Linked DNA regions of Xenopus tropicalis. The protein of the gene in region 1 interacts with the protein of each later gene in a pairwise test. Links are inferred from orthologs where the notes say so. Each region holds a gene or a part of one and is shown in the gene's direction. Other genes may lie near its edges. The genes, in order: atpaf2 and pkp4.

What was found.
Region 2: the proteins of atpaf2 (region 1) and pkp4 interact in binary tests that used the Homo sapiens proteins (3 or more experiments, as listed by UniProt). The two-hybrid records come from large-scale screens. The link is inferred for Xenopus tropicalis from reciprocal best matches to the Homo sapiens genes ATPAF2 and PKP4.

Annotation. Positions count from the first base shown.
Region 1 is NC_030685.2:15,289,190-15,305,803, forward strand, and holds atpaf2 (ATP synthase mitochondrial F1 complex assembly factor 2 precursor), read left to right. Parts: upstream 1-5,372; 5' UTR 5,373-5,556; coding exon 5,557-5,653; intron 5,654-6,722; coding exon 6,723-6,767; intron 6,768-7,736; coding exon 7,737-7,882; intron 7,883-7,955; coding exon 7,956-8,053; intron 8,054-8,307; coding exon 8,308-8,388; intron 8,389-8,493; coding exon 8,494-8,606; intron 8,607-10,993; coding exon 10,994-11,109; intron 11,110-11,393; coding exon 11,394-11,531; 3' UTR 11,532-11,928; downstream 11,929-16,614. Other genes in the region: gid4 (glucose-induced degradation protein 4 homolog), read right to left, coding at 4,871-5,047. UniProt on the Homo sapiens protein: Plays a role in the assembly of the F1 component of the mitochondrial ATP synthase (ATPase).
Region 2 is NC_030685.2:73,499,519-73,515,297, reverse strand, and holds the end of pkp4 (plakophilin-4), read left to right. Parts: intron 1-333; coding exon 334-484; intron 485-2,374; coding exon 2,375-2,570; intron 2,571-3,621; coding exon 3,622-3,706; intron 3,707-4,444; coding exon 4,445-4,562; intron 4,563-5,934; coding exon 5,935-6,066; intron 6,067-7,473; coding exon 7,474-7,547; intron 7,548-8,166; coding exon of another isoform or gene 8,167-8,238; coding exon 8,239-8,415; 3' UTR 8,416-8,859; downstream 8,860-15,779. UniProt on the Homo sapiens protein: Plays a role as a regulator of Rho activity during cytokinesis. May play a role in junctional plaques.

The DNA of each region.
Region 1 (16,614 bases):
CCAGCAGGGATACAGATAGAGCCATGGGTGCCTGGGCCACTGAAACCAGCAGGGTTACAGATAGAGCCATGGGTGCCTGGGCAAAACCACTGAAACCAGCAGGGGTACAGATAGAGCCGTGGGTGCCTGGGCAAAACCACTGAAACCAGCAGGGGTACAGATAGAGCCATGGGTGCCTGGGCAAAACCACTGAAACCAGCAGGGGTACAGATAGAGCCGTGGGTGCCTGGGCCACTGAAACCAGCAGGGGTACAGATAGAGCCATGGGTGCCTGGGCAAAACCACTGAAACCAGCAGGGGTACAGATAGAGCCATGGGTGCCTGGGCCACTGAAACCAGCAGGGATACAGATAGAGCCATGGGTGCCTGGGCCACTGAAACCAGCAGGGATACAGATAGAGCCATGGGTGCCTGGGCCACTGAAACCAGCAGGGGTACAGATAGAGCCATGGGTGCCTGGGCAAAACCACTGAAACCAGCAGGGGTACAGATAGAGCCGTGGGTGCCTGGGCAAAACCACTGAAACCAGCAGGGATACAGATAGAGCCATGGGTGCCTGGGCAAAACCACTGAAACCAGCAGGGGTACAGATAGAGCCGTGGGTGCCTGGGCAAAACCACTGAAACCAGCAGGGATACAGATAGAGCCGTGGGTGCCTGGGCAAAACCACTGAAACCAGCAGGGATACAAGTAGAGCCATAGGTGCCTGGGCAAAACCACTGAAACCAGCAGGGGTACAGATCGAGCCATGGGTGCCTGGGCCACTGAAACCAGCAGGGATACAGATAGAGCCATGGGTGCCTGGGCCACTGAAACCAGCAGGGGTACAGATAGAGCCATGGGTGCCTGGGCAAAACCACTGAAACCAGCAGGGGTACAGATAGAGCCGTGGGTGCCTGGGCAAAACCACTGAAACCAGCAGGGGTACAGATAGAGCCATGGGTGCCTGGGCAAAACCACTGAAACCAGCAGGGGTACAGATAGAGCCGTGGGTGCCTGGGCAAAACCACTGAAACCAGCAGGGATACAGATAGAGCCGTGGGTGCCTGGGCAAAACCACTGAAACCAGCAGGGATACAAGTAGAGCCATAGGTGCCTGGGCAAAACCACTGAAACCAGCAGGGGTACAGATCGAGCCATGGGTGCCTGGGCAAAACCACTGAAACCAGCAGGGGTACAGATAGAGCCATGGGTGCCTGGGCAAAACCACTGAAACCAGCAGGGATACAAGTAGAGCCATGGGTGCCTGGGGAAAACCACTGAAACCAGCAGGGGTACAGATAGAGCTGTGGGTGCCTGAGCCACTGAAACCAGCAGGGGTACAGATAGAGCCGTGGGTGCCTGAGCAAAACCACAGAAACCAGCAGGGGTACAGATAGAGCCATGGATGCCTGGGCAAAACCACTGAAACCAGCAGGGGTACAGATAGAGCCATGGATGCCTGGGCAAAACCACAGAAACCAGCAGGGGTACAGATAGAGCCATGGGTGCCTGGGCAAAACCACTGAAACCAGCAGGGATACAAGTAGAGCCATGGGTGCCTGGGGAAAACCACTGAAACCAGTAGGGGTACAGATAGAGCCGTGGGTGCCTGGGCAAAACTACTGAAACCAGCAGGGATACAAGTAGAGCCATGGGTGCCTGGGCAAAACCACTGAAACCAGCAGGGGTACAGACAGAGCCATGGGTGCCTGGGCAAAACCACTGAAACCAGCAGGGGTACAGATAGAGCCGTGGGTGCCTGGCCAAAACTACTGAAACCAGCAGGGATACAAGTAGAGCCATGGGTGCCTGGGCAAAACCACTGAAACCAGCAGGGGTACAGATAGAGCCGTGGGTGCCTGGCCAAAACCACTGAAACCAGCAGGGATACAGATAGAGCCATGGGTGCCTGGGCAAAACCACTGAAACCAGCAGGGGTACAGATAGAGCCGTGGGTGCCTGGGCAAAACCACTGAAACCAGCAGGGGTACAGATAGAGCCATGGGTGCCTGGGCCACTGAAACCAGCAGGGGTACAGATAGAGCCATGGGTGCCTGGGCCACTGAAACCAACAGGGGTACAGATAGAGCCATGGGTGCCTGGGCAAAACCACAGAAAACCAATAGGTTATATTTAATGTGCATAATGAGCAAGTGCCCCAGATGACTTTATGCCCATCTGTATGACACAGGGGTCCTTATGACTTCTTGTGGGAGAGACAATATTTATATACAAATGCAGTGTGTAAATCACATGGCCATTTCCAGCCAATGTGTGTGCAGGTGGGGGACACTTGCACCGTGCAGCCTCAGTAACAGTGAGATTAATGGTGTATGTAGCCCCTGGGAGCCCGGAGGGAGCCCAGAGTGCAGCTGAGCCGCCCGAGCCCATTCTCTGTGCAGGGAGAGAGCAATAGAAACCCTGGCTCAGCTGAAAGCAAAGGCTGCCCGTGGGCAGAGGCAGGAGCGCCGGCACATTAGGTCACGTTAGGTCACAGCACTGGCAGACTGTTAGGGCTCGGCGACACAAATAAGGGCAAGAGAGAGACAGATAAAGGTGGTACCAGCCCGGCACAATCCCCCCCCTGGCACCCGTATTCTCTCCCCGATTATGCCCTGCGTGGATGCAAATCCCTCCTTGTTTAATTCTTTTGCTGGGCCGAGGGCAGCGATCCAGGAGGGAGTAGGGAGCTCTCCCAGGGTGCCGCTCACACTATATATGCCTATTTATGGCCGGCTACTTCCATAGCCAAATCAGAGGTGAGCGCCGCTAGGAAAGGGGCCCCGTGCCCGACTCTGAGTAAGGGCCAAACACTTAGATTAATAGGAGGCAATGAATTAAAGCAGAGAATATGCCATATGACAGTGGACAACCTAAGCTGAGGGGGGGGGGGGGGGGGGGAGTTGTAAGGGCTGTAAGTTGTACCCGTCGAAAATAAAAGCTTATAGACATTTAGTTTTCGAGATATTAGCAGTTTTAACACTGTGTTATAATGAATATGACACAGTGCCCCATTCTGTTCTTCCCACTGGCTGCAGCCGGCAGAGGAAAGTTCTGGGGATGTCTCTGTGCTCAGAACCGACCAGAGAAATGTCACATGACTCTTCCCCGCTCACTAACTTCACTTGCAGCAGGGAGTGCAGGAACCTGTGTGGGCTGCAGTGTATAGGAGTAGCGGCTGTGCCCAGGCTATGCCACCATTCTGTACCAGCAGGCACATATAATACTCAGTACCAGCAGGCACATATAATACTCAGTACCAGCAGGCAGATATAATACTCAGTACCAGCAGGCAGATATAATACTCTGTACCAGCAGGCACATATAATACTCAGTACCAGCAGGCACATATAATACTCAGTACCAGCAGGCACATATAATACTCAGTACCAGCAGGCACATATAATACTCAGTACCAGCAGGCAGATATAATACTCAGTACCAGCAGGCAGATATAATACTCTGTACCAGCAGGCAGATATAATACTCTGTACCAGCAGGCAGATATAATACTCTGTACCAGCAGGCAGATATAATACTCTGTACCAGCAGGCAGATATAATACTCTGTACCAGCAGGCAGATATAATACTCTCTCACACCGAGCTTTAGTGTAAAATTTACTGAAGCATTTCCCCCCCCCAAACCAACTCCATCCACCAATCACACGCTCTCTAGAACTGCGGCTCCCATATCTACCTCCACAGGAAATGTAGAGAAGAGATTCCTTGCCCTCTCTATACTCTCCCCTGTTACTGTAACCCACAAGGGTGCTACTACTCTCCTGTCCCCCCAAGTAATACCTTCATGGCAGGTTCCCATGACTCTCCTTCCCCCACCTACTCTGCCATACTCTCCCTATTCCTTTCCAGTTAGGGTTCCACCATTGTGCTCACTGTACAAGGGGGAGACTATTGTTGGCGCTCACTGTACAAGGGGGAGACTATTGTTGGCGCTCACTGTACAAGGGGGAGACTATTGCTGGCGCTCACTGTACAAGGGGGAGACTATTGCTGGCGCTCACTGTACAAGGGGGAGACTATTGTTGGCGCTCACTGTACAAGGGGGAGACTATTGTTGGCGCTCACTGTACAAGGGGGAGACTATTGTTGTGCTCACTGTACAAGGGGGAGACTATTACTGGCGCTCACTGTACAAGGGGGAGACTATTGCTGGCGCTCACTGTACAAGGGGGAGACTATTGTTGGCGCTCACTGTACAAGGGGGAGACTATTGTTGGCGCTCACTGTACAAGGGGGAGACTATTGTTGGCGCTCACTGTACAAGGGGGAGACTATTGTTGGCGCTCACTGTACAAGGGGGAGACTATTGTTGGCGCTCACTGTACAAGGGGGAGACTATTGTTGGCGCTCACTGTACAAGGGGGAGACTATTGTTGGCGCTCACTGTACAAGGGGGAGACTATTGTTGGCGCTCACTGTACAAGGGGGAGACTATTGTTGGCGCTCACTTACCCAGCAGCCCTGGCTTCTCTGCTCTCAGTCCCAACATGATTCACAGCAGAACCCTATGACTCTCCTACCCCCTCCCTCCCTCCCTGCCATAACTCACCCCCCTACCTCCCAAGCCAGGGCCCCAGTGCCTACATGTCCTGCTCCGGCCACCCTTCCCTGGCTAGGGGTCCCTCCCATAACCCTTCCTACCCCACTCCCATTGCCCCTCTATTCCCATCATTCTACCCTATCCCTGCTCCTCTCTTGCCCCTTCACCTGCTCTCCCCCAATAAACCTCTTGTTAAACAACCCCCCCCCCCCCCCAGCCCCTCTACCCAGGATTCCCTGCCGCACATCCCCCCCCTGTGCCCACACACACACACACACACACACACACACACTAGCCAGGCTGCAGTCGGCCCCGCCGGGCCTCACCTGAAGCACAACTTCCACATCGTACGAGTTGCCTTTGCTCTTCTGGTGGCCCCGGAACTTGGAGCCGCTGTAGAGGAGGGTGGTGGCCACGCCGGGCTGCTGGGTGTTGATGGGAGGAGGAGGAATAAGAGAGGAGTATCCGGAGGCCGCGCTGTTGGCCTCGGTACGGACCGGCATATCCAGGGCCGAGCCCCTCTCCCGCTGAGGCGGCTCCACACTAGGGCTCGGCCACTTCTCCACTCCCGGCCCGAGCACCTGGGCCTCTCCAGCACCGCGCAGTCCGATTGGCTGAACGAAAGGCCGCCCACCGCGCAGCACCGCCCCCAATTGGCTAAAGCGGTGACTCGGCGCCGCCGGGAAATGTAGTCTAGCTAAAACTGACCAATGGAGACCAAGAAGGGCTCGGATTGGCTGCTTGCCGGACGTGACGACAAAGAACAAGTCAGGGTCACCAAGATGGCTGCGCCCGGGTGAGCAGGCTTTCTGTACATAGGGGCTGGGACTGGCAGCGTGTTCTCTCTGGGTGTAATGAGCGCTGAGCCTTGTGGGAAGCCTTGGGGAGAGACCATTTCACAGCGGCAGAGGGGTGGTCGCTAATAAATATCTACTGATAATCCTTTGCCCCTCGGCAGGTGCTGATGGGAGAGAGTCCTGAGCAGAACCACTGACCCCTCCCTTACTATACCATGCTGCCCAGTCTGCTAGCGATCACTGCCCGGAGGCTGCGTGTATTCCCGGCGGCACTTTGCGCTCAGACGCGTCTCTATGCAGCCGCTGCTACCGGTAAGTGGCACCAGGGAGTGGAAAGGGAGAAAAGGGGATTTGCCAGTGCATTATACTCCTGTAAATATAAAAGCAATATGTCATTAAGGGATATATATATATCATGCTGTGTAAAAAGTGGAGTAAAACATCACCGGTGATGTTGTTTATAGCAGCCAATCAGATGCTTTGGTTTTCTAACTGTTGAAATGTAATTGCTGATTGGTTCCCCAGGGCAACATCACTGGTAATGTTTCACTCCACTTTTTACACAGCATGATAAATATACCCCTAAATATTCCATTTTCTGCTCATTTAAACCCTACTAGTCCCGCCCATGGGTTCCACTTCCAGCCCTACAGGGAACAGTAGCAGATCTAGTATAAACGGAGAGCTGTGATTGGCTGCCTGCCTCCTACTGAGCTTTTGGCAGAGACCATTAGGGCATGGCATTATGGGGGCCCATCAGACACATGGCGACACAAGGATGAGAACTGATTGAATGGGAAAGTGTCTTGGTGGGGGGTAGAAATCCTGCTGAAGAAAGGGGGCATTTTTAAAGCTAACAATAATCCCCCCCCCCCCATTTTTTTAAATTCCACCTCTCCAGTCTATACCATTCCTTTAGCTCTAATGTTACCTATTCCCCCAATTCAGTGTAGCTCCTTCCAAATGTCCTTCTCCAGAGCCCCCACTTATGCTGGACTTTTGTGCCTTCTCTCTTACTGCCCCCTCCGTGTTACTGCCCCCTCCGTGTTACTGCCCCCTCCGTGTTACTGCCCCCTCCGTGTTACTGCCCCCTCCGTGTTACTGCCCCCTCCGTGTTACTGCCCCCTCCGTGTTACTGCCCCCTCCGTGTTACTGCCCCCTCCGTGTTACTGCCCCCTCCGTGTTACTGCCCCCTTGGCCAGCTGCCACATCCGCACCCATTCTCTGCCCTTTAGCAGTGCAGTTGCCCTGAGGGGAAATGTATTACTGCTTGGATAGTGTGGGTATGAACCCAGTAGAATTCTGCATTTGGTACTGAGGCATCAGTCCAATGTCTTACTCTATTATTTATTGATTCAATTATTTTTTTTTTATGTTGCAGAAAGAAAGAAGTTCTATGAAAATGTCAGTATTTCCCATGGAGAAGGTAGGTTTCACACAGTCCTTTCCAGAGCTGCGCGTGTGGCTTTATCTGTATCTTTAAAGCACCCTGTGCGGGTGCTTGTACCCTCCTACAACTGACGCAGATGGCGACACATTCGGCAAACCTTATCCCAGGCTGGTGTTTATTTCACAGTTTTTTAAGTTACCTAAAACATAGCACTATAGCAACCACCATACAGGCCCGGACTGGCAATCTGTGGGTTCCGGCAAATGCCAGAGGGGCTGCTGTGAGATGCCATAGACCAGCGTTTTTCAACCACTGTTCCGCGGCACACTAGTGTGCCGCGAGATGTTGCCTGGTGTGCCGTAGGCAGGGCACCAATGTACTAGGGGGGCACTGCTCTTGGCACCAATGTACTAGGGGGGCACTGCTCTTGGCACCAATGTACTAGGGGGGCACTGCTGCTGGGCACCAATGTACTAGGGGGGCACTGCTGCTGGGCACCAATGTACTAGGGGGGCACTGCTGCTGGGCACCAATGTACTAGGGGGGCACTGCTGCTGGGCACAGAGTTAAATTTTTTAACATTTTCTAATGGTGGTGTGCCTCGTGATTTTTTTCATGAAACAAGTGTGCCTTTGCCCAAAAAAGGTTGAAAAACACTGCCATAGACAGTCACTATTTATTGGGCTGATGGGGGGCCTCTGTGTACTGGAAATACTAGTACCAGTCCAGACCTGCCTCCATACACCAGCATTGGTATAAGCAATATTGGTCAGAAGCAGTGACCCGGTGGCTGCACTTTCCTTCCTGCTTCCCATGCAGCCAGCCATTGGGCCCAATGAACAGATAAGTGCAGTTTGGCCACCCCTGTGTCTAAATAGAAGGGCATTTTGCCCTTGGGTCCGGCCGCATATAAGATGCCTATTCTGACCCCTTTCTTTTTGTAAATAGAAGGTTGAAATCTATAACCTTTAGCTTGTAAATGCAGCTACTGTCTCTTCCCTCCAGGGGGGTTTGAAATTAACCTGGATCGACGGAAGCTCAGGACGCCACAGGGGAAAATATTTACCGCTCCGAGTGAGGCTTTGGCCGTAGCTGTAGCTACAGAGTGGGACTGCCAGCGAGATGTGATCAAGTTCTACACCATGCACCTGGTAAGGATGCCCTTAAACCCCCACCTCTGCCAGCTTGTATTCATCCGCTAACTGTATTGCCTTCTCCCTGCAGACCACACTGTGCAACACGGCCTTGGATAACCCCACGCTAAGAAACAAGGAGCAGCTTATTACGGCAGCTCTGAAGTTTTTGGAGACTGACACAGTCTGGTGAGTGCCATGTATCCAGTTACTTGATCCATAAGCCTCCATTAGGATTAGATTCAATATCCGCTACTTACCTTATCCCCTGGGCTCTTCTGTAGTGACTTAACAAAGAGCCAGCAAATACACCTTCCATTTCCACATCCTTTGAACGGAAGGAGAGCAGCCATGGAACCAGCAGAGGGAGCCGCGATACAAACAAGTCTCCCTGTATAATTACATGCCATTTAGGCAATAAGATATTTGGTTTTGTATTGCAGTTACAGAGTAGAAGAGCCTCCGGGGCTGGTGGAGCTGCAGAGAAACGAGTGGGACCCAGTGATTGAATGGGCAGAAAAGAGGTCAGCTGACTGCAGACTGGGCAGAGCAATGTGTCACATTTCTATAAAGAAAAGCTCTACGTGTATATTCTTCTTCTTTATTCTCTTAATGTACTTTGGCTTTAGATACAACGTTGTGATTGGATCCTCCACAAGCATCCAGGGGCCCATCATACCAACAGAGACCAAAGATGTGTTTAGCCGTCATCTGGCATCCTACAATTCCTGGGGATTATTAGGTAATGGCAGATAAACTATATCCGTGTCACGTGACTCCGTGAGTTAGTGATGGGAGGTGCATCCCTGGGGGGCAGATTGGGGCTGTTCCTTTTGGATTTGGAAATGAAGACAAATGTATTTATACTACAGCAGACAAAGTGGTAATTGGGGTTCTCTGCTGTGCTGGAGGCTCTGGGCTTCTTTAAAGAAGAAATAAAGCATAAGACACTAGCTTGGGGCGGGGGGGATATGCCTATAAATACCATTTTTATATGCTGAAATCCAGCTGCAAAGCAGCTCTTCTCTTTCTGCATCATTTGAAATCCTGGCAGGGGAGGAGGGACTAAAACATTGATGTTACAAATTGTAACAATATCTCCACAGGTTACAGACAGCATGCAGGAACTGCAAAACCCACAATGCATTGCACTGTGATGTTCCTTTCCTTATTGACATCACATGAGCAGGGAATTGTGGGATTTGGAGGCTGCAGGCTGAGGACAGTCGTCTACTGTTACATTTTATTTGAATCTCAAAGTAGCCAGCCAGATCAGCAGGGGAACAGGGGGCGGGGCTTAGGCAACCGTTCCAAAATGTATTACATTACAAATCATGAAAAGGCTGCATATTTTTTAATTGATGTACAGTGGTGTGAAAAACTATTTGCCCCCTTCCTGATTTCTTATTCTTTTGCATGTTTGTCACACTTAAATGTTTCTGCTCATCAAAAACCGTTAACTATTAGTCAAAGATAACATAATTGAACACAAAATGCAGTTTTTAAATGAAGGTTTACGTTATTAAGGGAGAAAAAAAACTCCAAATCTACATGGCCCTGTGTGAAAAAGTGATTGCCCCCCTTGTTAAAAAATAACTTAACTGTGGTTTATCAATTTCAATTTTCAATTTCAATATCAATTTCTGTAGTCACCCCCAGGCCTGATTACTGCCACACCTGTTTCAATCAAGAAATCACTTAAATAGGAGCTACCTGACACAGAGAAGTAGACCAAAAGCACCTCAAAAGCTAGACATCATGCCAAGATCCAAAGAAATTCAGGAACAAATGAGAACAAAAGTAATTGAGATCTATCAGTCTGGTAAAGGTTATAAAGCCATTTCTAAAGCTTTGGGACTCCAGCGAACCACAGTGAGAGCCATTATCCACAAATGGCAAAAACATGGAACAGTGGTGAACCTTCCCAGGAGTGGCCGGCCGACCAAAATTACCCCAAGAGCGCAGAGACAACTCATCCGAGAGGCCACAAAAGACCCCAGGACAACATCTAAAGAACTGCAGGCCTCACTTGCCTCAATTAAGGTCAGTGTTCACGACTCCACCATAAGAAAGAGACTGGGCAAAAACGGCCTGCATGGCAGATTTCCAAGGCGCAAACCACTTTTAAGCAAAAAGAACATTATGGCTCGTCTCAATTTTGCTAAAAAACATCTCAATGATTGCCAAGACTTTTGAGAAAATACCTTGTGGTATTTAAAGTTTAACTAGTTTAAAAGTTGAACTTTTTGGAAGGTGGGTGTCCCGTTACATCTGGCGTAAAAGTAACACAGCATTTCAGAAAAAGAACATCATACCAACAGTAAAATATGGTGGTGGTAGTGTGATGGTCTGGGGTTGTTTTGCTGCTTCAGGACCTGGAAGGCTTGCTGTGATTGATGGAACCATGAATTCTACTGTCTACCAAAAAATCCTGAAGGAGAATGTCCGGCCATCTGTTCGTCAACTCAAGCTGAAGCGATCTTGGGTGCTGCAGCAGGACAATGACCCAAAACACACCAGCAAATCCACCTCTGAATGGCTGAAGAAAAACAAAATGAAGACTTTGGAGTGGCCTAGTCAAAGTCCTGACCTGAATCCTATTGAGATGTTGTGGCATGACCTTAAAAAGGCGGTTCATGCTAGAAAACCCTCAAATAAAGCTGAATTACAACAATTCTGCAAAGATGAGTGGGCCAAAATTCCTCCAGAGCGCTGTAAAAGACTTGTTGCAAGTTATCGCAAACGCTTGATTGCAGTTATTGCTGCTAAGGGTGGCCCAACCAGTTATTAGGTTCAGGGGGCAATTACTTTTTCACACAGGGCCATGCAGGTTTGGATTTTTTTTCTCCCTAAATAATAAAAACCCTCATTTAAAAACTGCATTTTGTGTTTACTTGTGTTATCTTTGACTAATAGTTAAATGTGTTTGATGATCAGAAACATTTTGTGTGACAAACATGCAAAAGAATAAGAAATCAGGAAGGGGGCAAATAGTTTTTCACACCACTGTATATTGCAAAGTGGCTTGAAATGATGTTTACTTTTCAGAAGCTTAAATTGTGTTTGGGTGAAGTTCCCCTTTAAGCTGATTCTCCTTACTTCCCCCCCACCCACCACCATCCAATACAGGTATCGAATTCATCATTTCTCAACTCAAGTCCCTTGTCCTGACTATGGGACTCATTGACCGACATCTGCCAGTGGAGAAAGCGGTTCTGCTGTCCCGTTTAGAAGAAGAGTACCAGGTAACTGCACTGATACGGCACGATCACTCCGAGGTTCTTACTCGCATAGGTGGGGCTCTGTGCTGTATATTCATGAGATGCTGGCTAATAAATAAAGCTTATGATGCACATATGTAATAATCACTCCGGCAGTTCCCGTTAGGCATGAGGTGACAATCAGACGGCGGTGTATTGATGATTAATTCACATATCCACAGCCGGGTGTAAATGATTCAGGTTCCCTTCTCTGCATAGTCCCCGGACAGATGCCTCTGCTTGTTTTAATCCCGTTCTGTTTGGTTCAGATCCAGCGATGGGGGAACGTGGAGTGGGCGCATGATTATGACCTGCAGGAGTTGCGTTCCCGCACAGCCGCTGGGACCCTCTTTGTACATCTGTGTTCTGAAAGCTCTACCATAAAACACAAGCTCCTGCAAGACTGAGCAAGGGGGACTGGATGCTCTTCTGTTCTGGGAAGCCATTGTATCCCACCTGAAACATCTGGACTAGTGAGGGGGAGACAGACGCCTCCTGGGATCGCAATGAGAGCACGATGACCAAGGCGATTGGCTGATTGAAATCCGAAATCTGATGTAGGACCAGGTGTCTTGTCTGGATGAGGATCACGTGCGAGCTCGGGATAAAACTAGTATGTCAGAGATGTCCAACATACATCTACCTTATGAACTACAACTCCCATTATTCCCAAAGAACTTTTGGCTGTTATTGGTTGCTGGAACTTTAAACACCAGAGATGTTGGAATGTCAGTTTTTTTCCACCATGCTTAATGGCAGCTCAGTGTTACCTCTATGGTAGGCATAAAGATTCCAGTCATTTTATGTGTGTTCCTTTTATTTATTGGTTCACGGCTGAGTATTTCAAAGCATTTCAGTCTTTGATTTGCAAGTCAAGGTCACGTGAACTGAGGGGTGGGGCAATTAATCTATACTTGCAACCTTCAAATGCACCAATGAGAACATCACAACGTGGGCTGAATGGCATCCCATGTACTAACTGTCAAGTTTAGGCTGCTGTTGATCCATGTCCCGATCTAAAATCGGAACCTGGGTCATTTTGGGGAGGTGACACAAATACATAACAAAAATAATTAAAAAAAAAAAAGTGGTTTCTGCTCAACTCATGTTATTAGAAATAACTCGAGGTCAAAGAGCAGCTATTGGGTTAGGGTATATTGCTTGGGGAGGGTAGTGCAAAAAGCCCCCCGGCTGTCACTGATATGGTCCAAGGCTGAAGGAAAGGCTCACATCTGTTCATGCAGCTCTAGGTTGTCCAGCTCATCCCGCAAGTGGTCGATGTATGTGGTGATCTCTAAGATTCTATTGCGGTTCCTTTGTATTTCATCTTTTTGGACCTAGCAGAAACCGGAGAGACTGGCGTTTATGGTACAAAGCTAAACCGTATGTACATTGTGTGTATTAAATGGAATCGGACTCACCTTTTGGATGAGGTTGTTAGCCCAGGTGTTCATTTTGGTGACCAGCTCATCCTCACGGTTATCGATTTTCAGTAGGTGGATATCATGGGAGGCACTGACCGCATTAATGACTGTGTCTTTGTCCACAAAGATCTGATGGGAATGTAAAGAGTATAGTCAGACCAACCCATAAAGCAAGATTGATCAAAAATTATACACTTTGCTCTTACCATCCTGATGTCATCTGTGATCTCATCATCCATCTCTCCCTTTAGCACTTTCTCTAGTAAGTTGATGGAAATCTCCAGGAGCTTCTCGTGATGATGATTCTCCAGGTCTCTGACCTGAGCCATTGTATACATAGAGGTTAAGGATTCATGGGACAACAAACCAGTCAGAGGGGAGCTGCTATGTCTGTGAACCTGGCACCCCAACTGAGCTTTGTGGGAAAGGAACACTTAACAGAAAGGAGTGGGGTTTGCACCTAAATTGTACAAACTGACCACATCACCAGAGGCACTGGCAGAGAATAGCTGGGGTATATGTACCTGGGTTTGAATTACAATGGAAGTTGTAACTTTGCCTTTGAGCACACAGTGATAACATAGGGAAGCTGACTGTGGATTCTGGCAAATGCCAGAGGGGCTGCTGTAAGATGCCATAGACAGTCACTATTAAGTGGGCTGGGGGGGGGCTGTTTGGGCCTCTGTGTACTTGAAATTCCAGGGCCTATTTTGAGTCTCAGGCTTGCTGGGTTTGTGTAGCTGGGTTTGCCCTAATATAGGAGGGAAGAGAGCTATGACTTTACATCTAGCATTAAACCAATCAGGGTACACCTACCTGGATCAGCCCTACCATGGGAGCAGATATGTTTGTATACCAGCCCTAAAGCACAGAGTAATGGCACACCCAGAACAGTGTAGATGGGGTACATGTGTATTTACCCCTACCATAAGGCTGATGCCACACGTGGCGTTTTTACGCGGCGTTTTTTCTCAGCCTAAAAACGCTGCACAAGCCACACATGGCGTTTTTCAGCCTAGAACTGGTGACGTAAGCAAATCCCGTTGCCATGGTGCTAATAGTGCGAAATAGCAAAAAACGCCGCGTATTTCCGCTAGGTCTGGCAGCTGCCTTTGCGTATCCATAGGAATAGCTTGCTTTGCAAGTACTGGCGTATTTCAGCCAACGCTTGAAAAATCCGTGCTTAGGCGTTTTCTAGCGTATTTCCGCTTTGTTTGGTTTGCTGCGCGTCTTTTCAAGCTATTTCTATGGATGATGATATCAGGCGTTTTTCAGCCGCCGAGAGAATTAGAAAATACGCAGCGTAAAAACGCCACGTGTGGCATCAGCCTAAGAGGAGTGAGGCTCGCTTGCAGCACAGGCATAAAGCACTAAGGCACAAAGTGAAATGTAGAGCTGTAACTGGCCAAATATGGGAAGCACCCCCCAATCGCATGGTGGAGCTTAGTGTACCATGGGTAGCATATGTGTCATCCTTAGCTGTCACTGATGCATTGTTTTCTAAAAGTTGTATAAGGAAGGAACTAATTTCTGAAAAAGGGGCGGTGTTTATTTCTTTTTTTGCTTCCTGCTCTCATGTATTCAACTGCTGAACCCCAAGGATATAGGCCCTGTACAGTTTCCAGGAATGCAGAAACCATGTCTGACACATTTCTTTCATACTCCTTTATGATTTCCTGAGGGAGAACAGAAGGTGGTCAGTGACAGCGATTCCCATATTACCAAGAGTGGAAGCCAAGGAGGAAGATAGTGGGAGTCATTCGGTACCTCTGTCTGGTCCACCAGCTGCAGTTCCAGGGTCATCAGTGAGTCCAGCAGCTTGTTGATGTCATCAATATACTGTGAGATTTTAAGGTCTAGGAAGTCCTGATTGCTGCTCTGTGAGAGTTCATTTAATATCTGAAAGCAGAGAAATGGGTCTGAATATCTGAATATCAATGGGGGGTTTGTTTGCAACTGGAGAAACTTTGTTCTAGCTGTGCACTCTGCTAAAGAAAAATGTTTTTTTTCCCCCTAACCTCCTCTCCTGAGCTCAGTTTAATCGTTACAGGGCACAAAGTAAGTTCTGCCTGTGTAAGCCTGCATTCTTCATTGCATGAACATTACAGCACACATATGTGCTGGTTGCAGATGTAAATGTCACTGAAGATGAGTGAAAATGGCCACTGGGTGAAAGCTGCTATTTGTTTTAGGAAAATAGGTTGGTGGGTTTGGGTGGGGGTGATGTGCCCAACTTATATAAATTGTAGGTAAATGTAGGGTTTACATGTCTTTTAATGGTGAGTTCCTCAACCTATCTATGTTTCTGGACACAACCAACACTGTCATGCTGTAAGTCACTGACATATTTCCCCTGCTCTCAGTGGCTGATTCCGACATGAGTCAGCACTTCCTGCTACACTGCACTACAAACATGCTTCATGGCTCAGTAAGGAAAGAAGTTCGGTTGAGGAAGCTCACTCATAAACCATTACTATGTTACAACTATAATAAAAAACTGATAAAAAGAATTCGTAAACATCCAGTACAGTGTGGCTACATGTTTGCATCGGAGGAGGCAGCTCACTCCGGTTCCTTTTAGCCTTACTTCTGAGTTCTTTTCAGTGAGTTCCTGGATTTTCTTGGCTCCTTGCTCCTGGTTTTCCCGTATGGCTTCCTGCATACACTCGTTAAACTCGAACGCCTCGGCCTCTCGCTTCTCATGTTGTTTCATGCCGTATTCAAATATATTTTGGCAGATTTCAATACACTTACTCCTGTACGTGAGATTCTGGTTAAGGATTAATTCCGGCCACTGCTATTGGCTATAAGCTGAACTGCATGGCATCAGCAAAGTGGCTGTTTGTTTGTAGTAATTTGGGAAATGACAGTAAATGGGCAAGGTCTATTATATGGTGGATAGTTATGTGCAGGCCGGCCTGACACCTGTGGGTTTACCCACGTGAAGCTTCCCCCTTTTTGCTTTCTGAGCACTCCTACTCTCTCCGACTACCATGATGTCAAAGAGGTGCCTACTGTACATGTCTGATTAATTTTAATTGGAGCAGAGGAAGTAAGTATGCCCAGTAGGCACTTCTTTGAGGGTTCCATAGTCAGAGAGAGAAGAAGGGCTCAGAAACCAAAAGGGGCCAAGCTTCACACTAGACAAGGTCTAAAAGAGCTGCAGTTCAGCTGCTTGTAACAGAGAAACAAAAGACATTGCTGATGGACTTTGTTCTTCTCTGGCATTTAATTGGGCCAGGGCCCATTAGGAGTAGGTCAGGCTGATCTTGGCGGTGATCATATAAAGAACAGCTATGTGTGGCCTATAAATAGATGCTGAATACATACCGCAATTCTTCAACAAATTAAGGATCCTACTGTAATGCAGCAAATGATTGTGCAGCAGTGGATTATGCTCTCAGTAAAGGATATGAGTCCATTAACTCTGCTACTCCAGGAAGGCCGGATAATTTTGTGCCATCAGCATCATCTGCGTACATGCTCTCAAACAGGAAGGGGCCATTCAGATTCTCCACATAAGCAGCCTTAGCAAGAAAAGAAATACAACTGCTTGTCAGCCATTCAGTGCAAGTATAATACATATGTATAATATATATATAATATATAATAAGATTCTAGCTATCGCTGGGGAGGGGGAAGTTAAACGTAAGTGTCATTTTAGTCCACATTTAGCTTTTGTAACCAAAAGCAACCAAGAAATTAGCTCTGGTTGGTTAAATGCAGTAAGATTTAAAATAATCGGTTGCTATGTGTTACTACTCTGGAGTAACAAAATAGGATTCGGATTCGGTTTGGTGTTCGGCCGAAACTTTCACGAAGGATTCGGGTTTTTCCCCAATTCCCAAACCAGTGGATTTGCTGCATCCCTAACATCCACAAGTGCAGTGAGTAAAGTGCAGTTGCCATGTTTTGTTCCCAGAATTGTAGCGTTATTGCAGTCACAAAGGGGCAATGCTCTTGACGCAATTACACTGCACCTACTGCAATTGCACCCCAAAATGAATGCAAGTGTGTGTGTGTGTGTGTTTATTCTCAAACTGGGCACAGTTGCAGCAAATATTTT
Region 2 (15,779 bases), about 58 Mb from region 1:
AGCATATTTCCCCCTATGTTTCATGCACAGAACGTTCTGCAGCCATATTGCTAGCCTTGTGCAAAAGCACAACCCCTGTAACCACTATAGTATATCTGCTGGTAATGCAGTCTATAAAATTCCAGAAAATAGTAACGGATCCCATACTGCTGTACTGAACACTGTAGGTATTATGGGACATTACCCTTTTCTCTTTGATGCATATTGCGCAAGTGATGTTGACCCTAGCTGTAAATTGATGGCTGAATATGTGGGAAAATGCAGATCCCTGCTGCCCGTGCAGAACGGCATAGCCTGCGGTGACAGTAACTAATTGCTATATTTTCTCTTTAGTTTGCAGCATACATCAGAGCTGCGGTACGGAAGGAGAAGGGACTTCCTATTCTGGTCGAGCTGCTGAGAATGGATAATGATAGGGTCGTTTCCTCAGTCGCTACAGCATTAAGAAATATGGCATTAGATGTCCGCAACAAAGAGCTTATTGGTATGTGCACCATACTGCAGATTTTTGTACTAATGTCTCTGGCTCTCTGCAGCATGACAGGCAGATTGCCCACTGACCGTAGGTATTGGTTGCCTCTTGTCAAACCTGTCTTTGAGGGTTTCCAGCAGGGTTGAGATTCATCCATGACATGACACATATAGTAAGGGTTGAGGGTCATGGGCCCCGCATATAGTAAGGGTTGAGGGTCATGGGCCCCGCATATAGTAAGGGTTGAGGGTCACGGGCCCCGCATATAGTAAGGGTTGAGGGTCATGGGCCCCGCATATAGTAAGGGTTGAGGGTCATGGGCCCCGCATACAGTAAGGCTTGAGGTTCAAGGGCCCCGCATATAGTAAGGGTTGAGGGTCATGGGCCCCGCATATAGGAAGGGTTGAAGGTCATGGGCCCCGCATATAGGAAGGGTTGAAGGTCATGGGCCCCGCATATAGTAAGGGTTGAGGTTCAAGGGCCCCGCATATAGTAAGGGTTGAGGTTCAAGGGCCCCGCATATAGTAAGGGTTGAGGTTCAAGGGCCCCGCATATAGTAAGGGTTGAGGGTCATGGGCCCCGCATATAGTAAGGGTTGAGGGTCACGGGCCCCGCATATAGTAAGGGTTGAGGGTCACGGGCCCCGCATATAGTAAAGGTTGAGGGTCACGGGCCCCGCATATAGTAAGGGTTGAGGGTCACGGGCCCCGCATATAGTAAGGGTTGAGGGTCACGGGCCCAGCATATAGTAAGGGTTGAGGGTCACGGGCCCAGCATATAGTAAGGGTTGAGGGTCACGGGCCCAGCATATAGTAAGGGTTGAGGGTCACGGGCCCAGCATATAGTAAGGGTTGAGGGTCACGGGCCCCGCATACAGTAAGGGTTGAGGGTCACGGGCCCCGCATACAGTAAGGGTTGAGGGTCATGGGCCTTGCATACAGTAAGGGTTGAGGGTCATGGGCCTTGCATACAGTAAGGGTTGAGGATCATGGGCCCCGCATACAGTAAGGGTTGAGGGTCATGGGCCCCACATACAGTAAGGGTTGAGGGTCATGGGCCCCACATACAGTAAGGGTTGAGGGTCATGGGCCCACATACAGTAAGGGTTGAGGGTCATGGGCCCCACATACAGTAAGGGTTGAGGGTCATGGGCCCCACATACAGTAAGGGTTGAGGGTCATGGGCCCCACATACAGTAAGGGTTGAGGGTCATGGGCCCCACATACAGTAAGGGTTGAGGGTCATGGGCCCCACATACAGTAAGGGTTGAGGGTCATGGGCCCCACATACAGTAAGGGTTGAGGGTCATGGGCCCCACATACAGTAAGGGTTGAGGGTCATGGGCCCCACATACAGTAAGGGTTGAGGGTCATGGGCCCCACATATAGTAGTGGAAGAGCAGCTGAAAGTTGTAGATCAGCAACAGCCAAAAAGCCATGGGCTGGCAGGTTTACTAGTATAATTAAATAAGAAAATGATGTGGGGCTGCCATTTCTGTGTATTTTACCTGGACATAATATTGGGAGTCAGGGTCAGATTTGCCTACCAGAGGATCTCCTGGTCAGCCTAGCCCCTGCTGGTCCTCTGCCTAGGGCAATTACCATCAACCTGTTTTGGGTACCATTTGGCCCTGTCTATATCCAGTTGCTGTTAGTGGGACTGCAGTGTCAGGTTCCCTAGCGGGTCCTAGGAGACCCAGTTCAACACTGTCAGGAAAGTGTGTAGAGATTTTGGCATCATTTTCTCAGTCTGCAGAGAATTTTCAGCCAGTAAAGGCTAACTTCTGATTGGTCCATCTTTTAAGGCAAAAAATCAAATGGAACTAATTCCATATTAACTTCAGCTGTTTCTTAGCGTTGTAGTTTTCATTTATGGCAAATAGCTTCTTTCCCCCCTTCCCAGGTAAATACGCGATGCGTGACTTAGTAAACAGACTTCCCGGAGGTAACGGGCCGTGCGTTTTATCTGACGACACAGTGGCTGCAATCTGTTGTGCATTGCACGAGGTTACAAGCAAGAACATGGAGAATGCGAAAGCGCTGGCCGACACCGGAGGGATTGAGAAGCTGGTGAATATCACAAAAGGAAAGGGAGACAGGCAAGTACTCCTTCACCCATATTATTCAGGTTTAGGGATTGCGACTAATGAGTCTTCATCTAGACTAGAGCAAGGGATATTCTCCTAGAGTCCTGTGATAAGTCTCCCCCCACAGCCTGCCTAACCCAGCGCCATTAATTAGCCGTATCTGGAGTTCCTTCGCTTGCGTGACATTCAGCACAAATGAGCAGGGCCTCTGAGCTCCTCGTGGAGAAGCATAAAGAGCATGGATTATGTCATTGGCTCTTACGGCCATCCGTTCATTAATTCATGGGCTGCCTTCATTAGAAAACCTCTGGCCATTTGCTTTCACAGCAGGACCAAGGAGACAAAGAATTGCCATGTTCTTTATGAAAATTGGATTACGCTCATGAGCAGATTTTATCCAAACGCAATTCCAGTGCTTCTCTCTCTCTGTCGTTGCACTGGCACCACATCCTATTCCTATGTAATTATCAGGGGAGTTCTGCACAAACTTGCTGATTAGTTGCACTGGGGGAGGCAGGGTTGGCCGGCCAAAAGGGGAAAATACAGTTCAGGGGAATTATACTTGACATTGTAGATGACAAAACAGTACCCCTAGGGGCTGAGCTGAAACATTACAGTGCTTACAGATACAGACACCTGATTATTATTAAGCTAATTAATATAACATTGTATATTACATGAGCTTTATAATTTCACCAAAAAAATACTTCCTAATGCTTTTACATTCCCAATCAGATCCCCTATGTTCCCCTATGAGGGGGCGGTCAGGTTGGCACTAGTTTAGAAACTTCATGTAACATTTACTTAAAATATAAGATCCATCTGCAAAAAACAATCAACATGACCTATTATATAAACTGTATACACTAAGGGGTTTATTATGCAGAAGAGCAGATGTGAGGATCTCGGTGCTACAGGTTTATGGAGCTATACATTCATTTCATGTGTTGCCATTTTCCCTCCTTCCTTGTGCTGGGGCTCATCTCAAACAAGAGTTTTATCCTTCCAGCTGTTCTATTGAAATGCATTGGTCATAATTAACAGTGTTTTTGATTTTCCTTAGATCTTCGTTGAAAGTGGTCAAAGCTGCTGCCCAAGTCCTAAACACATTATGGCAATATCGAGACCTCCGTAGCATTTATAAGAAGGTAAAACTGTTAGAATGGGCCTGGGATCTTCTTTTATCTCATTGTGCTGTATTGTTTGTATTGATAGCTAAGGAATAGGCCAATGGGACTACATGGGCAGTTGATTTGCAATGGGGCCAAAATAGCAAATATAACAGAGAAGGGAATCCTGCAGGCTTTGCCTCACAATTGCAATGCTGAAAGATATAGTTCAGCATCATGTGAAGAAGTTTCACAATTGACACCCTAATTCAGATGGTTATTGAAGCATTCCATTACGGTTATTGTGTAGCCACCTTAATATAGGGGCATATGTATTCTCAGGGGTATTTTTAGTATCCCACTTGATCTGCCACTCCTATTGTCTTCAGCCAACTGCTGGTTGGATGTATAAGGGTGAAGACACACAGAGCTACTTAGAAGCAGCTATTTGTCACAGCTACTAAACACCAGAAAATACCTTGCCATAGACAATACAGAGAATTGCCTCTGCTTAAACACACAGAGAGACAGTTATCAGTAAATGATCAGCACTGTCTATTTTAGTAGCCGCGACAAGTATAGCTGCTACTAGTAGCTCCATGTGTCTTCACCCTAACACATGCTGTTTCCCATCACTCGAGGTTGGTGAGTACGGAGAGTATCCAGCCATTACAGAACTTGGAGAGTTGGAGAGAAAAAGATGGCTGCAGCAGTTAAAGGCACTGTGCACAGATGTTCACGGTGATATACTATATATAGTTTTCCTTTCTTTTCTAGGACGGCTGGAATCAGTCTCATTTTATCACTCCAGTATCAACACTAGAGCGTGAGCGCTTCAAGTCTCACCCGTCCTTATCTACCACCAATCAGCAGATGTCTCCCATGATCCAGTCAGGTCAGTGTTGCTCTCAGCAGGGCCGGGTATATGGGGACAAGCCAAAAAGGGCCAATCTGTCACAGAAGATAGTACAGTTCTTGTTATTTATGTTGGAATCTCGCAGGATTATCTGATTCTGGCTCCGTCAGCATCTGCTTTTTGCCATGAAAGTGCTTGGCAGGGAGTTTGAAAGCAAACAGAAGAAGCCATGTTTAGATATGTAGTTCTACACAATTCACTCCCATCTATGGGGTTTCCTTTTCTCTTCCTTATTCCTAAACTTTTTCATATTTTGCTATTTGTATTTTTCTCAGCTGAATATGCAGAAATGTACTCAGCATGAAAAATATATACAACGGTCTATTGCTGTAAAGGTTCCTTTTGTAGCAAGGGGAGGATGAAGCCCCAGGCTGTGCCAGTAAGCAGTGCTACTGAGTAAGCTGGCAGTCTCCCAGAATGAGAAGGTGACTCTCCCAGTAGCATCCAAAATAAAATCTATATGAAACACTCGGGTACAAGCAATTCCTATGCGGGGAGTATATGTATAGGGGGTATTAAATGGCTACAATTTTATTGGTATTACTTTTAAGTACTTATCTTGCTAGTCAGACCTATTCATATTCCAGTTTCTCATTCAAAGCGCTGCCTGGTTGCTAGGGTAATTTGGACCCTTGCAACCATATAAAACAAAATAATTCAACGACGACAAATAAAAACTGAATTGTTTCAGAATAGCACTTTCTACAACATACAAAAAGTTAATTCATTAAGGTAAAGAGCTCCTTTAAAGTGATACTGACACTAAAAAACTACTCTTTAAAATATTAATGTGCATTAAAAGTTCCCTATAGGTCATATTGATCATTTTCCGCTGATTGGGCTGTTTCTTTAAGTAATTTTTGCTTAAAAGAGCAACATGGGGGATCCGATAGGGAATGTAAAAGCATTGGGCAAATATTTTTAAGGCTAAATTATAAATTGCCTGCAAAGACAGTGTTATGATCGATGTAAAAAAGGTTTGATTTCAGATGTCAGTATCTGGTTTTAATAGTCATTGCAGGCAGATTGCCAGGGAAAGCCTAACAATCTCAGAGGGGCAACACAACTTTGGAAACCAAAGTCACCATTTAGATCAAGGTTTGGGACTATACCTACGATCATCAAGAACCCAAAGTCCAAATTATTCTAAAGGGGGAACATTTAATTTAAAGCTTAATAGTTATTATAAGTGATGAGGGGGAAGGACGTGCCTAGTGTTAAACCCAAATAGGAAGCTACAAAGTCTGAATGCTAATGCCTTTATGTACTGCAGGTGTTGCTATAAATAATTTGTTTATTCTCAGTTACTGATTCCTCTATAATAACTTTCATCTCTTCCATTGTGACACAGTGGGCAGCACCTCCTCTTCACCAGCACTGTTAGGAATACGGGAACCTCACTCTGGTTATGAGAGAACACAACCCTCTATGCAATACTATAACAGCCAGGGAGACCCCATCTCTCAGAAGGAAATGTTCACTGGTACGTGCAAATGTCTCTCTCACAGCAGCCATGATGCGCAATACCTTAAATATACACACGTCCCATGCATGTACACACGTCCCATGCATGTACACACGTCCCATGCATGTACACACGTCCCATGCATGTACACACGTCCCATACATGTACACACGTCCCATACATGTACACACGTCCCATACATGTACACACGTCCCATACATGTACACACGTCCCATACATGTACAGTAAAGGGAAGTAGATCTAGTTTGTCTCTGCTCCACTGCAGAACCTACATCCCAGACCTCTCAACCTGAACAGGATCCGTGTCCCACGCAGTTAGTCGCGTCAGAGCTACACATGGACAAGTGCCTATACACCAATACAGCAGGCGCATCAGCTCATCGGGCACGCCCGATGGACCTACCCGACCAATATATGGCCTAAAATTGGCCAGATCTTGATTGGGCAGATTTGATTTTTCCATTCAATCAGGGACCCCGTTAGCTCATTGATGCAGTCCCCAGTCCGACAATCCATATACCCACCACTTTAATTTGATCATTTGGCCCAAGGGATGGAAAGCTAACATCCACCATTCAGATAAAGCCTAATCTTCCCTGTATGGACAGCTAGAATCCTAGGGCTGGAAGAATGTAGATTGAAATACATTCTACTAAATAACAAGAAAAACTTCCAAAAAAGTAATAGAAATCATATTTGTAACTCCTTTATATTTGAAGTACTGCACATTGGGGAGAAAGTAATAAAGTTGGTGTGGAAAAATTATTCGCAATGTGAAAACGTATGCCTGTATGCAACTAAATATGTGTGAATGGGGAAACTGTTTAGCGACCACTTCCAACAGTGGAAGAAAGTTTGCGAATTTTAGTGTTAGTGCGCAGTGTATGTAATAAAACTTCTTAATGGAAAAGTTACCTTTCCTCCAACAGATTCCGCCACCTTCAAGCATGCCTTAAAAAGTTTGCAATGCACATTCTGACTTTTATTACATTCCCCCGATTGTCTTCAGATACAAACATTTGTTTGAATAAGATTGTCCCTACGCAGCATTGCGTCGCTGCGTGTGTAAGTTTAAGCGCGGGGGGCTTTTCTGGTTTGGCTGATATTAACCTGGACAGTCCTCTGACAGTAATAGCAGCGCCCTCTACTGGTGGTAAATAGGAAAACATTACTATTAAATGCAGTAACTCTCAGCAGTGATTCTATGCTTTATCACTCAGCAGTAAACCCAACACTAAATACTTGATTTCAAGGGCGGCATCAGTATAATTTCCTTTTTACATGGGAGGAAACCCACAGAGAGACTTATAACCCTTTGTACTTGGGAGTTATGGGAGTGATTACATTGTTTCTTTGTTCAGAAAAAAGTAAATCACCCACAGACTAAAACTGTTATTTTCATAGGGTCCAGCAAAGCATCTCCAATCTACATCAGCTCCTATTCCTCACCAGCACGAGAGCAAAACAGGCGGCAGCAGGTGAGTTATTAGTATTGGCCCAACCAGAAGTCGTCTTATTAGGGCCCCAAACATTCTGGCAGTTGAGCTGCTTCAGAAACACAAAGTGACGGTCACATCAGTCAGGAACCCACTGAGCCCACCATCAGCGGTTGCCAAGAGACAACAAAGTTTAAAAAAAAAAAAAAATCCTCATATCAATACATACATACACTTTGCTATTGTAACTTTGCATCATTTCTTGAGAGTTTAAGATTTTTTTTTTTTTTTTATAAAATATTGTTCCCTTTGTTTAAGCCCAGCTTAGGAATATTTATATATAATAGTATTAGCTCTTACAATTAATAAGTGGGGGGTTTGTGACATCAAGGATTGAGCAAAAGGGAGTCTGGGCACCATGTCCAGGCACAGTTATGCACTGCAGCCAATTAGATGTTTGCTTTCATTGTTATAGCTGCCCTATAGCAGTAGAAGCTAACTGCTGATTGGTTGCTGTGGGATACAGTAGAAACTGGGCTCATTACTACACATCCCAACTGTATAATGATATTTGGGAATGCCATAGCACAGATATAGCTATGTGAGAAGGATAATGTGTTCAGCATGAGTCTAATAAAGTAACTGTTCCGTTTGTCATTAGCATCACCAGCTGTACTATAGTCTTGAAGACTCAAATAGGAAAAACTATGATGCATACCGATTGTATTTGCAGTCTCCACACAGCTACGAAGACCCGTATTTTGACGAGCGCGTCCACTACACGACGACTGCAGATCAGAATGCGCAATATGGACTCAAATCGACCACAAACTATGTAGACTTTTACTCCACTAGAAGACCTTCCTATAGATCAGAACCGTACCCGGGGTCGCCGGACTCGTGGGTGTAGGACCACTAAGGAGGCGTTTCCATGAACTCTATACTAATAATCATGCTTGATCTGATTTTTTGAATGGCCTTATTTGCTGTTTTGTTTTTTTATTATTATTTTTGTATTTTTTTTTTTTTTTTTTTTTTTTTTGGTGGTGGAAACTGAAAGTGAAATTCAGAGAAGGACGACGGAAGAGAATATATTTTCTTACAATTTCAGAGGGCTTATCATGAACAGGAGAATCAAACTGACGAGGGATATCTATTTTTTTGCTGTCTAGATTGTAGCTCTTAATACTCCTAGCTCTGTAGTTTGGTGATGGTGCAAGCTATGTGATAAAAGGTCTGCGGCGGAGAGACGTGATTGGCGGGGGGAAGAGGTGTAGGTCAATCTTTTAGATTTTTTTTTTTATTATTATTATAAATGTGAATAAAAGTCTCGCTGAGAAGTTTGTACAGACGGAGATGGTTGAAACGAATGCTTTCTTTCCTTCCTTGCTCAGTGTCCGGATTGTATGCTATTCTGTCTTGTAAATGAAACTCCCCCCTATGTAAATACAGTATTGCCATAACGGTTGGAAGTGCCATCATTTGTATTGCTGTGTCATTTTGAATCATTGGAAAAGCAGAAATATGAGATATTATAATGCTAAATAAGGAATAACATTTTTAAATAGCGTCATTTCAAAACGGGGACGGCGGATTCCCGGCGCTGCAGATGAACGAGCTGTGGTTCCTGCCACATTCAGTGCCGGGAGTTTGCCATCTCCGCTATAACTTAATCTACACTTTTTTTCCATTCCCTGCCTCTTTCATACGTCTCACTGCCATTTTCTATGCACACAAAACGACAAAAATAAATGTGGAACATCCACAGAAAGTCGGTTATTGTCTACGTTTGTCTGCGTTCACTTTATTGTAGAACTGTGATTGCTGGGTACCAGTTGGGCAAATGGTACATTCCATAATAAGCACCTAACCTGCAGTTTAAGCGTTCTAATAGCATGGCACAAAAATGTATTACACTTCATGTAAATTGATATATGCTTCTCTAAAGCTGGCCATACACGCACCAATGATATTGTACAAAACCTAATTTCATACAATATTCGGTGCATGTATGGTGGCTCAACGAGGTGACCAATATCGCAGAAGGCTGCAGATATCGGTCGACTTGTCAATCGGCCAGGTTAAAAGATTTTGATTGGGTGCCATTGAAGGAGCCCAAGCAAAATCTACGTTCAGTGCTGAATCGGCAGAAGGAGGCAGAATTTCTATTGTTTCTACCTCCATATCTGACAATTCAGCCCTGAACGTCAGTGGAGGGTGGGAACGACCTTTCGTCTGACCAATGGTCATTGCTACGTGTATGGCCACCCTTAGTCTTCTGTCCTGTGGTTAGTGCTTTGCAGTATATATTGTGCCTTGGGTAATAGCAGTGGAAAAGGTATGCTGTGGGTATTATCAGTGGCCTGTGGAAGGGTAACTATAAGAGGTTATGGCCAGTCATGCTAATAGACCGGTGTCCAGTTGGGGAAATGATGCAGCACTATAAGGTACGGATTAATACAATGAATAGGCAGAATGGGCTCTAAGGGTATTTTCTCCTGGGGTGCCACTATAGGTGCACTAAGTATGCTGGAACACCAGGAGATTGATCAGGATCTCTAGCATAAGCTTACCATCCATCCTTGGCCCACAGGAACAGGCCTTGTGTCAGGGCTTCGGTCCCCTAAGAGAATTGTCACGTGAAGCGTCCACATCTGGCAGTATAATACATGGAATTGCCTCTGTGTCATCCTGCTATGAGTTCTGGGGGTATTATACATGGAATTGCCTCTGTGTCACCCTGCTATGAGTTCTGGGGGTATTATACACGGAATTGCCTCTGTGTCATCCTGCTATGAGTTCTGGGGGTATTATACACGGAATTGCCTCTGTGTCATCCTGCTATGAGTTCTGGGGGTATTATACATGGAATTGCCTCTGTGTCATCCTGCTATGAGTTCTGGGGGTATTATACATGGAATTGCCTCTGTGTCATTCTGCAATGAGTTCTAGGGGTTTTATACATGGAATTGCCACTGCAGTCATTTAAATATTTATATATTTTCTGAGGGTGTTTCTCTAAAATGGGGAGTGGTTTACTGGGGCATGTCTCCCACAGTGGGCGTGGTCTGCATGGCACCACTTTCGCCTTTTTCCCAGATTTCACTCACATCAAAGGCTTAACCTCTAGGCCAACTCCTCCTCCAAAAGTACATGGACACCTGACTGCCAAACTTTTTGGTCCAAAACCAATGGTACTAATATGAAGTTGGCCATTTGCTTTTCTAGGAAGGCTTTCTGTTTGATATTGAAATGTAGTGGGATTTGCTTTCATTCACAGGTAAGAGTTGGGGCACGTCTGATGTTGGGCTTGAGGCCTGGATCTTTTTGGTCTTCTATCTAGTTCATCCCATAGGCATTCAGTTAGGTTATATATATATATACACGCTGGGGCTCAGCAGTTTAGGGCAGGCATTCTCATCAGTATATGTAAAACCAATGTACACTGTATGGATAGTTACACATCGAAATACATTCTATTTATGTGCTAGAATGGCCGCTGCTATGTGATGACCATGAAAATTTTGCAGCAGCAACAACTCTGTCAGTAACCACAAGATGGCGTAGTGCTGAGTTTCATGAAAATTAACTGCATGGTGCGCTCTTACAAGCCACAGCCTTTTTACCATTTTATGGGGGTCTCTTTGTAATACAATTTATTTCTACAGAAGTGCAAAAAATCTAAATAATATCTTAATATGATATAGAGGAATGGCAGTTTCTATATATTGTCCCATTCTATCAAAACTGAAAATTCCGCAAAGCAGCAGCCCTATGTTGTACCACTAGATGGGGCAATTGATATATTTGGGGAACAGTGATTTAATATCCACAGGGGTGAGCTACAGGGAAAAGCCACACAGTACCGCAGGGGCGAGCTACAGGGAAAAGCCACACAGTACCGCAGGGGCGAGCTACAGGGAAAAGCCACACAGTACCGCAGGGGCGAGCTACAGGGAAAAGCCACACAGTACCGCAGGGGCGAGCTACAGGGAAAAGCCACACAGTACCGCAGGGGCGAGCTACAGGGAAAAGCCACACAGTACCACAGGGGAGAGCTACAGGGAAAAGCCACACAGTACCGCAGGGGCGAGCTACAGGTAAAAGCCACACAGTACCGCAGGGGCGAGCTACAGGGAAAAGCCACACAGTACCACAGGGGAGAGCTACAGGGAAAAGCCACACAGTACCTCAGGGGCGAGCTACAGGTAAAAGCCACACAGTACCGCAGGGGCGAGCTACAGGTAAAAGCCACACAGTACCGCAGGGGCGAGCTACAGGTAAAAGCCACACAGTACTGCAGGGGAGAGCTACAGGGAAAAGCCACACAGTACCACAGGGGCGAGCTACAGGGAAAAGCCACACAGTACCACAGGGGAGAGCTACAGGGAAAAGCCACACAGTACCACAGGGGCGAGCTACAGGGAAAAGCCACACAGTACCACAGGGGAGAGCTACAGGGAAAAGCCACACAGTACCTCAGGGGCGAGCTACAATTAAAAGCCACACAGTACCGCAGGGGCGAGCTACAGGGAAAAGCCACACAGTACCACAGGGGAGAGCTACAGGGAAAAGCCACACAGTACCTCAGGGGCGAGCTACAGGTAAAAGCCACACAGTACATGCTGTTATACAGGGAGCGTATAACAGCAGGGAGTAACAAAGAAATTCAGGATCCTTATTATTAACATGATTAAATCCAAACAATGTGCCAATAGCATCAATATATGCTCAAAATATGCATGTGTCCCCAGTTAAATATGGCCATTCTAATCAGACCACATATATATATATATATATATATATATATATATATATATAAAGAAACAGAGAGCCGCACACACAGGGACTTTGCAAAAAGACAAAGTATTTAATGAAAAAGATCCGATGTTTCGAGCACCAACTGTGCTCTTCCTCAGAGCAAAATCGACGTTGTGCTGTGTCAATTCCTTGATTATACATTGTTCTCCATACCTGGCACCCAGGCATTAATGGAGTTTTTTGGTGTGTGCCCTATTTTTCATGTTATATATATATAGAATTTGAGTGTCTGCACTCAAATGCAAAAATCATGCCGGGGTGTACAGTTACAACAAATATATAAAAACTTATATTAAACTGGCACACTCTATAAAAAATGTGACTTTTATTTTTACAATGTTGTTTCAACAAACTTTATATACAAACATACAAATCAATGCCCACTACACATCAATCCAAAATCATATGATTATCCAATCAGTGACTTCCAATGTGACTTTCAAAGGTGAATTCAAAATTTGAATTCAGTACTTCTTTTACCACTTTATAAGCATAAATATTATACCTTGTCTATTCAGCCTTCCTAAAACCTTTTTTACATCATATTTCAATAATCACAATACATACAATTATATCCATAGTGTAGTTGTAATTACTAATATAATCATAAATAGTACAAATAGTGCATTGAAATATATAAATGTGCAATTCCAATTTTATCCATTAGATGTACCTTAAAAGCTCATAATACACTGTCCTTTTAAAATCCACTGTTTAAAAATCCTGTAGAGAAAAGAAACCTTTTTGTAGTAACTAATAACAATATAATATATAAAATAACTAATATAACTAATAACTAATATTGTGACCAAATTGTATATATTTTGTTGATATATAGAGTTACAAAAAGGTTTCTTTTTCTCTACAGGAAGTATTCAAATTCACTTTGAAAGTCACTGATTGGATAATCACATGATTATGGATTGATGTGTAGTGTGCACTGAACATTTTATATATATATATATATATCAGATATACTTTAGCGATCAGAAGTCATTAGTAACCTTAAAGAGGCTAAGGGGCACATTTACTAATCCACGAATCCGAATGGGAAAATTTCGGATTGGAAACGAACATTTTGCGACTTTTTCGTATTTTTGCGATTTTTCCGTTGCCGTTACGACTTTTTTGTAAATTGTCGCGACTTTTTCGTAGCCGTTATGACTTGTGCGAATTGTCGTGACTTTTTCGTAGCTGTTACGATTTGCTCGTATATTGTCGTGACTTTTTCATATTGAGCGCTCGTAAATGGCGGCCAAAACTTTCAGACTTTGCATGATTTTGGAAGCCTCCCATAGGACTCAATGGCACTCTGCAGCTCCAACCCGGCCCAAGGAAAGTCTCCCATAGGGCTCAATGGCACTCTGCAGCTCCAACCTGGCCCAAGGAAAGTCTCCCATAGGGCTCAATGGCACTCTGCAGCTCCAACCCGGCCCAAGGAAAGTCTCCCATAGGGCTCAATGGCACTCTGCAGCTCCAACCCGGCCCAAGGAAAGTCTCCCATAGGGCTCCATGGCACTCTGCAGCTCCAACCTGGCCCAAGGAAAGTCTCCCATAGGACTCAATGGCACTCTGCAGCTCCAACCTGGCCCAAGGAAAGTCTCCCATAGGACTCAATGGCACTCTGCAGCTCCAACCCGGCCCAAGGAAAGTCTCCCATAGGGCTCAGTGGCACTCTGCAGCTCCAACCCGGCCCAAGGAAAGTCTCCCATAGGGCTCAATGGCACTCTGCAGCTCCAACCTGGCCCAAGGAAAGTCTCCCATAGGTCTCAATGGCACTCTGCAGCTCCAACCTGGCCCAAGGAAAGTCTCCCATAGGGCTCAATGGCACTCTGCAGCTCCAACCCGGCCCAAGGAAAGTCTCCCATAGGTCTCAATGGCACTCTGCAGCTCCAACCCGGCCCAAGGAAAGTCTCCCATAGGGCTCAATGGCACTCTGCAGCTCCAACCCGGCCCAAGGAAAGTCTCCCATAGGGCTCAATGGCACTCTGCAGCTCCAACCCGGCCCAAGGAAAGTCTCCCATAGGTCTCAATGGCACTCTGCAGCTCCAACCTGGCCCAAGGAAAGTCTCCCATAGGGCTCAATAGCACTCTGCAGCTCCAACCCGGCCCAAGGAAAGTCTCCCATAGGGCTCAGTGGCACTCTGCAGCTCCAACCTGGCCCAAGGAAAGTCTCCCATAGGGCTCAATGGCACTCTGCAGCTCCAACCCGGCCCAAGGAAAGTCTCCCATAGGGCTCAATGGCACTCTGCAGCTCCAACCCGGCCCAAGGAAAGTCTCCCATAGGGCTCAATGGCACTCTGCAGCTCCAACCCGGCCCAAGGAAAGTCTCCCATAGGGCTCAATGGCACTCTGCAGCTCCAACCCGGCCCAAGGAAAGTCTCCCATAGGGCTCAATGGCACTCTGCAGCTCCAACCCGGCCCAAGGAAAGTCTCCCATAGGGCTCAATGGCACTCTGCAGCTCCAACCCGGCCCAAGGAAAGTCTCCCATAGGGCTCAATGGCACTCTGCAGCTCCAACCCGGCCCAAGGAAAGTCTCCCATAGGGCTCAATGGCACTCTGCAGCTCCAACCCGGCCCAAGGAAAGTCTCCCATAGGGCTCAATGGCACTCTGCAGCTCCAACCCGGCCCAAGGAAAGTCTCCCATAGGGCTCAATGGCACTCTGCAGCTCCAACCCGGCCCAAGGAAAGTCTCCCATAGGGCTCAATGGCACTCTGCAGCTCCAACCCGGCCCAAGGAAAGTCTCCCATAGGGCTCAATGGCACTCTGCAGCTCTAACCCGGCCCAAGGAAAGTCTCCCATAGGGCTCAATGGCACTCTGCAGCTCTAACCCGGCCCAAGGAAAGTCTCCCATAGGGCTCAATGGCACCCTGCAGCTCCAACCCGGCCCAAGGAAAGTCTCCCATAGGGCTCAATGGCACTCTGCAGCTCCAACCCGGCCCAAGGAAAGCCTCCCATAGGGCTCAATGGCACTCTGCAGCTCCAACCCGGCCCAAGGAAAGTCTCCCATAGGGCTCAATGGCACTCTGCAGCTCCAACCCGGCCCAAGGAAAGTCTCCCATAGGGCTCAATGGCACTCTGCAGCTCCAACCCGGCCCAAGGAAAGCCTCCCATAGGGCTCAATGGCACTCTGCAGCTCCAACCCGGCCCAAGGAAAGTCTCCCATAGGGCTCAATGGCACTCTGCAGCTCCAACCCGGCCCAAGGAAAGTCTCCCATAGGGCTCAATGGCACTCTGCAGCTCCAACCCGGCCCAAGGAAAGTCTCCCATAGGGCTCAATGGCACTCTGCAGCTCCAACCCGGCCCAAGGAAAGTCTCCCATAGGGCTCAATGGCACTCTGCAGCTCCAACCCGGCCCAAGGAAAGTCTCCCATAGGGCTCAATGGCACTCTGCAGCTCCAACCTGGCCCAAGGAAAGTCTCCCATAGGGCTCAATGGCACTCTGCAGCTC